Linked DNA regions of Oryctolagus cuniculus. The protein of the gene in region 2 purifies or fractionates together with the protein of the main gene of each other region. This does not show direct contact. Links are inferred from orthologs where the notes say so. Each region holds a gene or a part of one and is shown on either strand. Other genes may lie near its edges.

Region 1 (5,414 bases), on a different chromosome or scaffold from region 2:
GCAAACCCAGTGCCTGGCACGCAGCGGGGACTTGGGGAGCCGTGGTCCCCTTGCCGTCCCCGTCCGTGTCCCTTTAAAGACCAGGGGTGAGCTGTCTGGCAGGCCCACGTGTACAGTGGCCACCCTCCCCGTGTGCGGTCACTGCCCCACCGCCCACGGAGCAGTAGGTCCGAGGCTCGTGGAAGTGCGGTGGCCCCTGTCCGTTGCTTGCCCACTCAGGAATTCAGGACCTCAGCAGCCCTAGTGGGATTCCGGCCCCCAGCCCGGGGTCCCGTCCCCACCCTGGGTGCCGAGGGAGGAGGGGAGGTCCAGGAGGCCGGTGTCCAGGGCGAAGGGTGCGTGTGGGAGCGGCCTGCGGGGTCCTGACTTGGGTCTGGGGGCACAGAGTGGTGGGATGACAAACTCCACGCCAGAGGCAGCGCGAAGACCTGGGACGCGGTGCCACCCAGCAAGAGGAAGAAGGCACCTCTGGTTTCCGGTATCCTTCCACGCACGGGGGCCCGAGACAGGCAGGTGTCAGCCCCGAGCTGGGAGTGGGCGGGTGGAGGGGACGCAGACCGGCCACCTTCGCTTGGTGACTGCCGTGGCGAGGCCGAGCCAACTGCCCGCACCCAGTGAGCCCCGCGGCGTCCGCGGTGAGGCCTTCGAGGCCTCCCTGGCTCTCCCGGATGCTGGTGGTGTTGGTCTGCGGCCACCGGTGGCAGAGTGGGCACAGGCGGAGAGAGGGGTCCGGAAGGCAGTGACTCGAGGGGTGGGGCGGAGGGGGTGAGGGCGTGGACGCCAGGTAGGGAGCTGTGGTTTTGGTGGGGAGGCCCCTAGGAGCGACTGGGCTCGGCCGGCCGGCCTGGAGGAAGGAGGTGAGGGCGAGGGGGGTAGGGGTGGTGCCTGGTGCCCTCCGTGGACTGGGTGAACCAGGCCCCGAGTCCCCCTCCCCACCACGGGGGACCAGGGGACTCCGAGGTAGGAGGTGGCTCCTGGGAGCTGCACGTGCACTGTCTGCACCGCCTCTGCTGGACACTGGGTGTGGGGCCGAGATGGCCACCGCGCGCCGGTCCTGCTTCCTTGACCCCTGCCGCAGGCCCCTACATCGTGTACATGCTGCAGGAGGTCGACATTCTGGAGGACTGGACGGCCATCAAGAAGGTGGGTGCCTGGCCCCGCTGCAGGCCGCCCCGGGGGAGGGCGGGAGGGAAGGTGGGAAGCCGGGCTGGGCAGATCCAGACCCGGAAGAGTCGTGCCACCCGCCCTGGCCCGCTCTCTGATGCGTGGAGGGCAGCGTCCTCAGGGCTGTGCTCACCCACGCAGGCGCGGGCAGCTGTGTCCCCTCAGAAGAGGAAAGCGGATGGTAAGTGTGGGGGTCTGCCTCGCCCCCTCCCATCCCCCGTGTGCCCAGGGAGAGGGGGCGGTGGCAGAGCCTTACTAGGTTGGAGGGGTTTGGGGGCCGGGGAGCGGGCGGTGCCCTCCGCGCCTCTGCGTCCGGCTGCCTCTGACCAGCGATGATTTTCCCTCCCACTTCCCCAGGGCCATGACTCTGCTGCCCCCAGCCAGGGGGTTCCCGGAGCAGCTGGCACTGAACGCAGGCCTCGCGTACTCTTGCTGTGGCGAGGCAGACAGACAAGCCCCCCGGGGTGGCCGCAGTGCTGCCGGGACGTCCCCCTCTGGCCTGCACTGGTCTGCATTCCTGCGCCTTAGGGCCTGCACAGCTGTGGCCCGAGAGCTGACCGGCCAGGCAAGACTGTCACCTCCGCCCCTGGCCACGAAGAAGGACCTTGACTCAAGCCAAAGCAGCATCCTGCCCGCCCCTCGGGCCCTGGCTCTCTGCAGCCTCCGGGCCACGGCAGCGGGCCCCACTGCCCGGGAACTCTGAGCCAGGTGTCCTGTGCGCCCACCAGGCCGGAGCCGGCGGTGAGACACCGGCTCCCCGGTTCTCTCAGGTGGTTCTTGGTGTTTGCCTCCCACTCGCCAGGACTGGATTAAAACCTCTCCTAGGGCTCTGCTGCGTCCTGTGTGTGTCTGATGGACCTTGGAGGGATCCGGTGTCCGCGGGCAGTGCCCCAGGCAGGCAGACCCTGCGCTGGTGCCTTCCCCCACTGCCCAGCAGGGGCTGGGGTGCGGGCTGGGAAAGGGGCCGGCAGAGCGTGTGGAGCACCCGGCGTGGCCAGCGGAGGGGACTGGAGCCTGGGCCCGGCCTCTGGGTCGTGTCTGCACCTGCCCTGCCGCTCGGCAGATGGGCAAGGCAGGCTGGCAGGGCCTGTGCGTGGGAGGCAGCCGGCAGCAGCGCCATGCGCTGCCGACCTCACAGCCACACTCCCCCTGCTTAGCGCGTGTCGGAACCACCCCCAGAACCCCAGTTAAGCAAAGGGGTTGGTTTCCATGGAGATGTGGCATCTTTTCTCCATGGCAACCTGAAATCCCCCAAACCCAGGTTGGGCCCAGGAGTGAGTCATCTGTGACCAGCAGGGGGTGCTCTCTCAACTGCTGACCACAGAGAGGTGGCTGAGTAACTGACCGTGAGCAGGACGAAGGTGCCCCAAAGGCGGGGCTTGTGGGGACTGAGTGGGCCCCACTTAACCCCCTCCTGCCCACCCGCGTGCTATAAGGAGACCAGCACGGCTGCAGGAGTCACCGTGTGGAGGTGGTGCCCCCCACAGCTGGGACCCTAGGAGTGGCGCTGGCGTGGAGGGGGATCCCTGCCCCTTGAGCCGAGTCCAGAAGCGAGAGGAAGCAGGGCACCGGCCAGCAGAGTGGACGCACAAGAGTTAACTGGCGGGGTGTGCCAGGGCGCACCGCCCTCAGGAAGTGTTACTCACCGCTGGGAATGTGTGCGCCTGTGCCTGGGGGCTGGATTCTCTTCCTGAGTCCCAGGAGAAGCCGGGTAGGAGCTCCCAGCCATGGAAGCCCTGGGGGCGCCCAAGGCAGCCCCTCTCGGAGCCCCCAGCCTGTCCAGCTGCCCTCCTGGCCACCAGGAGAGAGAAAAGTTAGTGTTGAAGTTGGAAGGGCGGCCAGGTGGGGCGGGGAGGGACGGAGGAGGTGGGGGGAAGGAGCAGGCAAGGGTCCCCCCTCCCCCACAGACACCCACTCAAGTCCGGGTGCTCACCCCCAGGCCCGCCCAGGACCCTCTGTACGACGTGCCCGATGCCGGCGGGGGACAGGCAGGGGGACCCCAGCAGCCGGGGCGCATCGTGAGCCTGCGGGAGCGCCTGCTGCTCACCCGGCCCGTGTGGCTGCAGCTGCGGGCCAACGCTGCGGCCGCCCTGCACGTGCTGAGGACCGAGCCCCCGGGGGTGAGTCCCGCCCACCCCTGGCGGCCGCTGAGGGCTGGAGGCAGAGGGGCTGCACCCAGGTCCTGAGCCTCCCGCACCCATCCACTCGCAGGCGTTCCTCGTGCGGAAGTCTAACACCCACCAGTGCCAGGCCCTGTGCGTGCGGCTGCCCGAGGCCAGCGGCCCCTCCTTCGTCTCCAGCCACTACATCCAGGAGCGCCCAGGCGGTGAGAGGCGGGGCCTGCCGGGCTGTGAGCCAGTGGGGAGGGGGTGTCCCCAGAGGTCGGCCTCACCTCCCAGCTCTCGCAGGCGTCTCCTTGGAGGGCTCGGAGCTCGTGTTCCCGGACCTGGTGCAGCTCATCTGTGCCTACTGCCGGGCCCGGTGAGTCGGCCGCCCTGGGGCCCTGCCCCCTGCCCCCCCACGCCAGGCCAGCCCGGCTGTGCCGCCCCTGACAGTCTGCTCCTTCTCTGGCTTCAGGGACATTCTTCTCCTCCCGCTGCGGCTCCCCAGAGCCATCCACCAGGCGGCCACCCACAAGGAGCTGGAAGCCATTTCCCACCTGGGCATGGGTAAGGGCCCTGCTGGCTGCCTAGCTGGACCCGCCAGGGCCAAGCGGGGAGGGAGCACCCAGCCCGGAGCCTTAGCCTCTGCTTGTCCCTAGAGTTCTGGAGCTCCTCCCTCAACACCAAGGCGCAGCAGGGGCCGCCCGACGGCGCCCGGCTGCCCCGGCTGAAGGCCCGCTCCCCTCAAGAGCTGGACCAGGGCACCGGGGCCGCCCTGTGCTTCTTCAACCCTCTGTTCCCGGGGGACCTGGGCCCCACCAAGCGGGAGAAATTCAAGAGGAGCTTCAAAGTACGCGTGTCCACCGAGACCTCCAGCCCGCTGTCCCCGCCGGCCGTGCCGCCTCCCCCGGTGCCGGAGCTGCCGGCGGCGACAGCGGCCAGCCAGGCCGAGAGGGTGCCCCCTCGCCAGCTGCTGCGGAGGGAGGGCTCCACGGGCTACCGCGTGCCCGGGGGCGCTGGCCCCGGCGTCCCCCCGCTGCCCTCCCTCCAGGAGGTGGACTGCGGCTCCCCCAGCAGCTCCGAGGAGGAAGGGGCGCCCCAGTCCCGGGAGAGCCCAGCGACCTCGCCCCAGCTGGGCCGCCGGCGACCCCTGCTGCGCTCCATGAGTGCCGCCTTCTGCTCGCTGCTGGCACCCGAGCGGCAGGTGGGCCGGGCGGCCAGGGCGCTCACGCGGGACAGGCACACGGCCGTGGGCCAGCTGGTGCAGGACCTTCTGACCCAGGTGCGGGCCGGGCCTGAGCCGCAGGAACTGCAGGGCGTCCGCCAGGCTCTGAGCCGGGCCAGGGCCATGCTGAGCGCCGAGCTGGGCCCCGAGAAGCTGCTGCCGTCCGAGAGGCTGGGTGAGGCCCTGGCCGGGGCTGGGTGCTTGGCCCTTCCCCGGCTGTGTCTGCCCCTGCCCCTCGCGCGTCTGCTGCCCTGCAAACCCGCCCCGCCTCGCCGCTGTCCTGCCCGCCTCCCTCACCTCCTCGCCCTCCCCCACCCTCCTCCTGCAGAGCAGGTCCTGGAGAAGTCGCTGCACCGCTGCGTGCTCAAACCCCTGCGGCCTGTCCTGGCAGCCCGCCTGCGGCGCCGGCTCTCCGCGGATGGCTCCCTGGGCCGCCTGGCTGAGGGCCTCCGCCTGGCCCGGGCCCAGGGCCCCGGGGCCTTCGGGTCTCACCTGAGCCTGCCGTCCGCCGTGGAGACGGAGCAGGTGCGCCAGAAGCTGCTGCAGCTGCTCCGCACCTACTCCCCCAGTGCCCAGGTGCAGCGGCTGCTGCAGGCCTGCAAGCTGCTGTACGTGGCCCTGAGGACGCACGCGGGTGAGCCCCCCCCCGACACAGCATGCATGACGGCTCGGTCAGCCCTCCCATCTCACAGATGGTAAAACTGAGACCCGAGCGAGCTGCGGCCCCTCTCTGTAGCCCCTCAACTCGGGCGGTCGCTACAGCAGTGGCACCGCCCAGGGCTGGGCAGGCAGAGGACAGATCTTGACCGAGGATGGGTCTGGGCCGCTGGGCTGCCCCGGGGGGAGCCTGAAGCCTCCGCCTCCCCGTCCCCGCAGGCGAGGGTGCCGGCGCTGATGAGTTCCTGCCCCTGCTGAGCTTCGTC
Region 2 (5,363 bases):
GAGGACATTACTTTTTTTGTACTAGTAGTATACGCTTATACTACTAGTGTCAAATACTGCTTTTAGTAACCTACATGTTCACATACTTAAATTGCACAACAACCCTTGTAAGATAGGTATAATTTGTCATCATCTTCATTTTATAGATGAGGAACTGAGGCACAAACAAGTGGAGTAGTTTGCCCAAGATCAAACAACTATGATGTGTCAGAGCCAAGTTTCGGATGTAAGCAGTTTAGCTTCGCAGTCCCTGCCCCTACTCATCTACTACTGTCCACCATGTATGAGTTAGCAGAGAAAGCAATTATTACTCCCAAATCGAAATTCTCCGATAAAAATATCAAGCAGTAAGGCAAATTCTGGCTCTATAATCTTTATCCCTTGTGTACAGACTTTTTTTCAATAACTGCAAAAACTTTGGAAATTACAAGAAAATAAGTATTTTTTTAAAAGATTTATTTATTTGGAAGTCAGAGTTACACAGAGAGGGAAGGAGAGACAGAGAGAGAAAGAGGTCTTCCATCCACTGGTTCACTCCCCAATTAGCTGCAACAGCTGGAGCTGTGCCCATCCGAAGCCAGGAGCCAGAGCTTCTTCCAGGTCTCCCACATGCGTGCAGAGACCCAAGTACTTGGGCCATCCTCCACTGCTTTCCCAGACCATAGCAAAGAGCTGGATCAGAAGTGGAGCAGCCAGGACCTAACTGGCGCCCATAAGGGATGCCGGCACTGCAGGCGGCGGCTTTACCCACTGTGCCACAGCAGCGGCCCCAGAAAATAATTAAACACAGGAAAACTTGGATCCAAACAGAAAGTTCATATTCTGTACTGTGCTAAAGCTTAAAGTTTCTGTACCTATTTTGGGGGTGGGAGTAATTTCAGTTATTCCTGGCCACATCCCAGGTAACAGTGGACTATTTCATAGCCCTCCTGAAGGATCTGTGTCAGCGGGTGGTTGATGAAGGTTGTATGAAAGTGAGTGGGTTGGCCGGCGCTGCGGCTCACTAGGCTAATCCTCCACCTAGCGGTGCCGGCACCCCGGGTTCTAGTCCCGGTCGGGGCACCGGATTCTGTCCCGGTTGCCCCTCTTCCAGGCCAGCCCTCTGCTGTGGCCAGGGAGTGCAGTGGAGGATGGGCCCAGGTGCTTGGGCCCTGCACCCCATGGGAGACCAGGAGAAGCACCTGGCTCCTGCCATTGGATCAGGGTGAACCAATGGCAAAAGGATAGACCTTTCTCACTGTCCACTCTGCCTGTCCAAAAAAAAAAAAAAAAAGTGAGTGGGTCATGAACTACACCTGTCTTTGCTTCCCCCCACCTCTGTTCTTGGGGGCTGTTTTTATTTATTTATTTTGCAATGGTTCCCATTACACATTTTAAAACCAAATGTAAGTGTGATGCCGCTAATAACCGACACCTTTTAATAAAGCCAACAGGGAAGCCGAAGGAAAGGAGGAGAATAACAGCCTAGTTCTTTGAGAAGTCAGAACAAGTGGATCGATATTCAGATACACAGCGTGGGAGAGGATGGTGAGGGAGCTGTGGGAGTAAAAAACACCCTTCTCCTGACTCATCCCCTCTGTTCAGACAACAGGAGCTAAAGACGAGGAGTTCTGACTCAGAAACGGGACCGAACATTCGTATTTCTTCTCCCTGTCTCCGCCAAAGAGGACCTGGGCTGGGGCCCCGTGCCTCGAGCACGCAGCTCGCCAGTGGGCGGTTTCGCGTTAGGGTCAACCCTCGGGACACAGAAACACGCGTGCTGGGACGGCCGGGGGGCTCCGAGGGGATTCTGGGCGGCGTGGGGCACACAGCCCGGGCACACCACTGTCCCTTCAGGTGAACTTCGTGCCATTCTGTCTGCAGGCCACGGCTACGTGTAAGCGGATCCCCCCGGGCCTTTCACGACCCTCGTGTTTCTCCGCCTCGGCGGCGCCCGCGGCGGGCACTCCGCCCTCGCTGACGGAGCTGACAGGTGCCGGCGCCGCGGGCAAGGCCCGAGCTGCACCGACGCTGAGGGCGGCGGTAGCGCGTGTGGAGCAGGCCGGCGACCGCGGACGCGGACTCGGGACCCGAGGCGGCCGTGGACGCGCGCGCGCGAGGTGGGCGCGGGGGGCCGGCCCGGCGGGGAGCGGGGCGGAGCTTCCGGAGGCCCCGCCCTCCGGGGGAGCGGAGGTGACTGGCAGGCGGGGGGCGGGGGGCGGGAGACGCTCTGCCCCACGCTCGCCCGGCGCTCGGTGGTTTAAAGATGGCGGCGGCGGCGGCGGCGTTGGGGGCGCGGAGCGGCGGGAGGGGGAGGGAGCAGCGGAGTCTGTGAGTCGCCGGGGAGCAGCGCGGCGGCCGCGGTGAGGAGTCCGGGGGCCGAGCCGCCGGCGGCCCCGGCCGCTCAGGGCCAGGGCCTGGGCCGGGAAGGAGAGGCCGGAGCAGCGCCGGGAGCCGAGGAGGAATGTGACCGGGGGGTTGGCGGGGGCGCGGGAGTACGCGAGCGCAGGGATGGGGCAGCAGGTGGGCCGCGTCGGGGAGGCTCCGGGGCTCCCGCAGCCTCAGCCCCGCGGGATCCGGGGCAGCAGCGCGGCCAGGCCCTCCGGCCGCAGGCGGGACCCGGCGGGGCGCACCGCGGAGAGCGGCTTCAATATCTTCACCCAGCATGGTGAGTGTGGCGGGGCGCGGGGCGGGGGCGGGCGGCCGGGGGGCGCGGGGCGGAGGGGTGCCGGCGGGTGGGGGCGGAATCGGCTGCCATCTGGGCCCGTCACGGGCGGCGAGCACACCCCTCCCCCCGCCCGTCTCCAGCCTGGCTGGCAGCTCCTGGGGGCGGTCACTCGGAGCTCGGGTGGACTGGCCTGTCCCCCGGCTCGGGGCCGTGCGTCGTCCGGGGGAGGCAGGGATGAGGGGAGCGAGGGGCTGCGTCCGGGCGGTGGGGGGGTGGAGGCCGGTTGTCAGCGGAGGCAGCCCCAGTGTGGCTGGGGAGCTCGGGCGTGCACCTCGGGAGACTGGCGGGGAGCGGTGTCAGGGTGGCGGGCTGCACGGTGCCCTGGAATGCCCGTCTTTGTAGGAAGGTGAGGGTGCGAGCCCCTGACTGTGTGTGTGTGTGTGCATGTGTGTCTGCCCCACCACCCTGCTCTGTTCCTTGGAGGACACGGTTCTGAGATGGCTGGCAAGGGCTGTAAGTTGGTGGGCATGGCTAGGACTTCCTTCTGGGTATGGGCAAGTTTTCCTTTGTAGCCTGTGTGTGTGTGTGTGTGTGTGTGTATGCCTATGTACGTATAGTGCTTGCAGATATGTGGCCTGGCACCTATCCCTTGGGTCGCGTCTATTTATCTTGAGAATAGTTTGTCTTCAAACCCCTTTGTTACGCACTCAGTAAAAATGTTGAGCGTATATTCTGATTTGTGTATTTTAGGCCGTTATGTTCGTGTACCGTGCTAATATGTGCTGTAATTCTTAAACGTATGCAGAAATAGAATTTAGGAAATGATAGGCTGAGAATATCATAAGGCTCCTGACCCCTCCCACCCCCCCACCCCCGCCTCGCCCCGGCCCAGTGGATCCTGTACACTTCCTCAGAGACATACTCGTGTCACTTCTGAAACCTCTTTGCTAGAGGGAATAAAATCAACATTGACTTGCCTGGGATTGAGGTCCCCCCCATATCCACGAAGGGCTGAAGATGGAGGTGTGGCTGGTGGAGGGACTGGCCGGTTGAAAGTGGCCGAGAGGGGCAAACTGGACAGTGACGGAAGACGGATGTAGAAGACGGTAAAGGGTAGAAGAGACGGGTTTCTGTGTCACACAGTCGAGGGAAGTGGAGGGCGAAAGTGAAGTGTGGATCCTTTGCTAGCAGTGGCGTTGGGAGAGTGTCATGGCTGATGGTAGCATGCACAGAAGGATGAATCCGAGGGTCCGTGACTAATAGCTGAGTTGTGTCAGAGGTCTGAGTTTGGACTTTGTGGTTACACTGAGTTTTTAAATTTTTAATGTATTTGAAAGGCAGAAAGAGACAGAAGTCTTCCATCTGCTCCTCACTGTCCAAATGACTGCAGCAGCTGGGGCTGGGGCCATGCCGGAGCCCAGAGCCCGAAATGGACTCTGGGTTTCCCAGGTGGGAGGCAGGGACCCCAGTGCTTGAGCCATCATCTGCTGTCCCCCAAGGTGCACAGTTGAAGGAAGCTGGAATCGGAAGTGGAGCCAGAACTCGAACCCAGACACTCTAGTGTGTCTCAGGTGGTGTCTCAACTTCTGCCCCAAACACTTACCCCACAGAGTGAGTGTTTCTTCATGGAGGAGATGTCTGTAACTTGGGTCTATGCACGCTTCAATTCACATACCTTGAAGAAACCTCAAGCACATCTTTAGTAGCAGACATATAAAGCGATGTTTAATATTTGATGCAGGTGCCATAGGAGTTGGTGGTGGTGGTGGTGGTTGTTGTTTGACAGGCAGAGTGGACAGTGAGAGAGAGAGAGACAGAGAGAAAGGTCTTCCTTCCGTTGGTTCACCCTCCAATGGCCGCCGCGGCCGGCGTGCTGCAGCCGGCACACCGCACTGATCCGAAGCCAGGAGCCAGGTGCTTCTCCCGGTCACCCATGCGGGTGCAGGGCCCAAGCACTTGGGCCATCCTCCACTGTTGTTTTTTATTGAAATTACTTCCTAAACCATGGGAGGAAAGAAAAGAGGAGTAGTTCTCAAGAGGATGGGCATTTGGTCCAGCAGTCACGATGCTGGTGCCCAGTGACTTAAGGCTTGGGCTTGATTCCAGGCTCCGGCTCCTGATTGCAGCTCCTGCTGGTGCAGGCCCTGGGGCCAGCACATGATGGCTCAAGTGTTTGGGAGGCCTGGACTGAGAGCCTGGCCTCTGCCTTCAGCCTGGCTGTTGGCAGGCATTTAGAAAGTGAACACGCCAATGGACGGTGTTTGTATCTCTTTGCCTGCCTATTTGCCTCTTGAATACGTTTTTTAAAAAAGTTTCCAGGGAAGAAATCGTCCAAGTAGCTTTGCTTTGTGGGAAGTGTTCCTGTGCGTTAAAAGTGGGCCACTGGGCCGTGGTGATCACCTTCCTCTAATATTCAGGACAGAAGATTGTCGGAGGAGGAAGAAGTCGCGAAGAATAGGATAGCAAAGACATGTTCGAAGGATGGATGGAATTTGGACCAAGGGAGCAGGAAAAGGCAGTCTGAGTGGGAACGGTGGGGATGGGCTTGATTTGTTGGTGGGACAGTGAGGAGACGTCTGTCAGGAGTGAACTTTGACCTCCAGCAGAATCGCAAGTCAGGTTCTATGCTGGCTCTAGCTGACTGGTGCGTTTAGTCATCACTTTTGGATTTCTTTATCTGTACAATGAGGTGAGGCAACATGATCTCTGAGATTCT

Evidence for each region. The genes of interacting proteins can lie anywhere in the genome.
Region 1: the proteins of ABL2 (region 2) and RIN1 purify together in Homo sapiens (co-immunoprecipitation; 3 studies listed by BioGRID and IntAct, counting the BioPlex papers as one, with this or other methods). This does not show direct contact. The link is inferred for Oryctolagus cuniculus from reciprocal best matches to the Homo sapiens genes ABL2 and RIN1.

What each region holds. Positions count from the first base shown.
Region 1 is NC_091432.1:5,519,924-5,525,337, forward strand, and holds the start of RIN1 (ras and Rab interactor 1), read left to right. Parts: upstream 1-2,132; 5' UTR 2,133-2,818; coding exon of another isoform or gene 2,819-2,891; coding exon 2,892-2,977; intron 2,978-3,103; coding exon 3,104-3,284; intron 3,285-3,375; coding exon 3,376-3,490; coding exon of another isoform or gene 3,491-3,572; coding exon 3,573-3,645; intron 3,646-3,741; coding exon 3,742-3,833; intron 3,834-3,925; coding exon 3,926-4,666; intron 4,667-4,819; coding exon 4,820-5,125; intron 5,126-5,367; coding exon 5,368-5,414. Other genes in the region: BRMS1 (breast cancer metastasis-suppressor 1), read left to right, coding at 386-478, 1,079-1,143, 1,306-1,345, 1,522-1,529. UniProt on the Homo sapiens protein: Ras effector protein, which may serve as an inhibitory modulator of neuronal plasticity in aversive memory formation. Can affect Ras signaling at different levels. First, by competing with RAF1 protein for binding to activated Ras.
Region 2 is NC_091438.1:7,420,484-7,425,846, reverse strand, and holds the start of ABL2 (tyrosine-protein kinase ABL2), read left to right. Parts: upstream 1-2,256; 5' UTR 2,257-2,490; coding exon 2,491-2,647; intron 2,648-5,363. UniProt on the Homo sapiens protein: Non-receptor tyrosine-protein kinase that plays an ABL1-overlapping role in key processes linked to cell growth and survival such as cytoskeleton remodeling in response to extracellular stimuli, cell motility and adhesion and receptor endocytosis.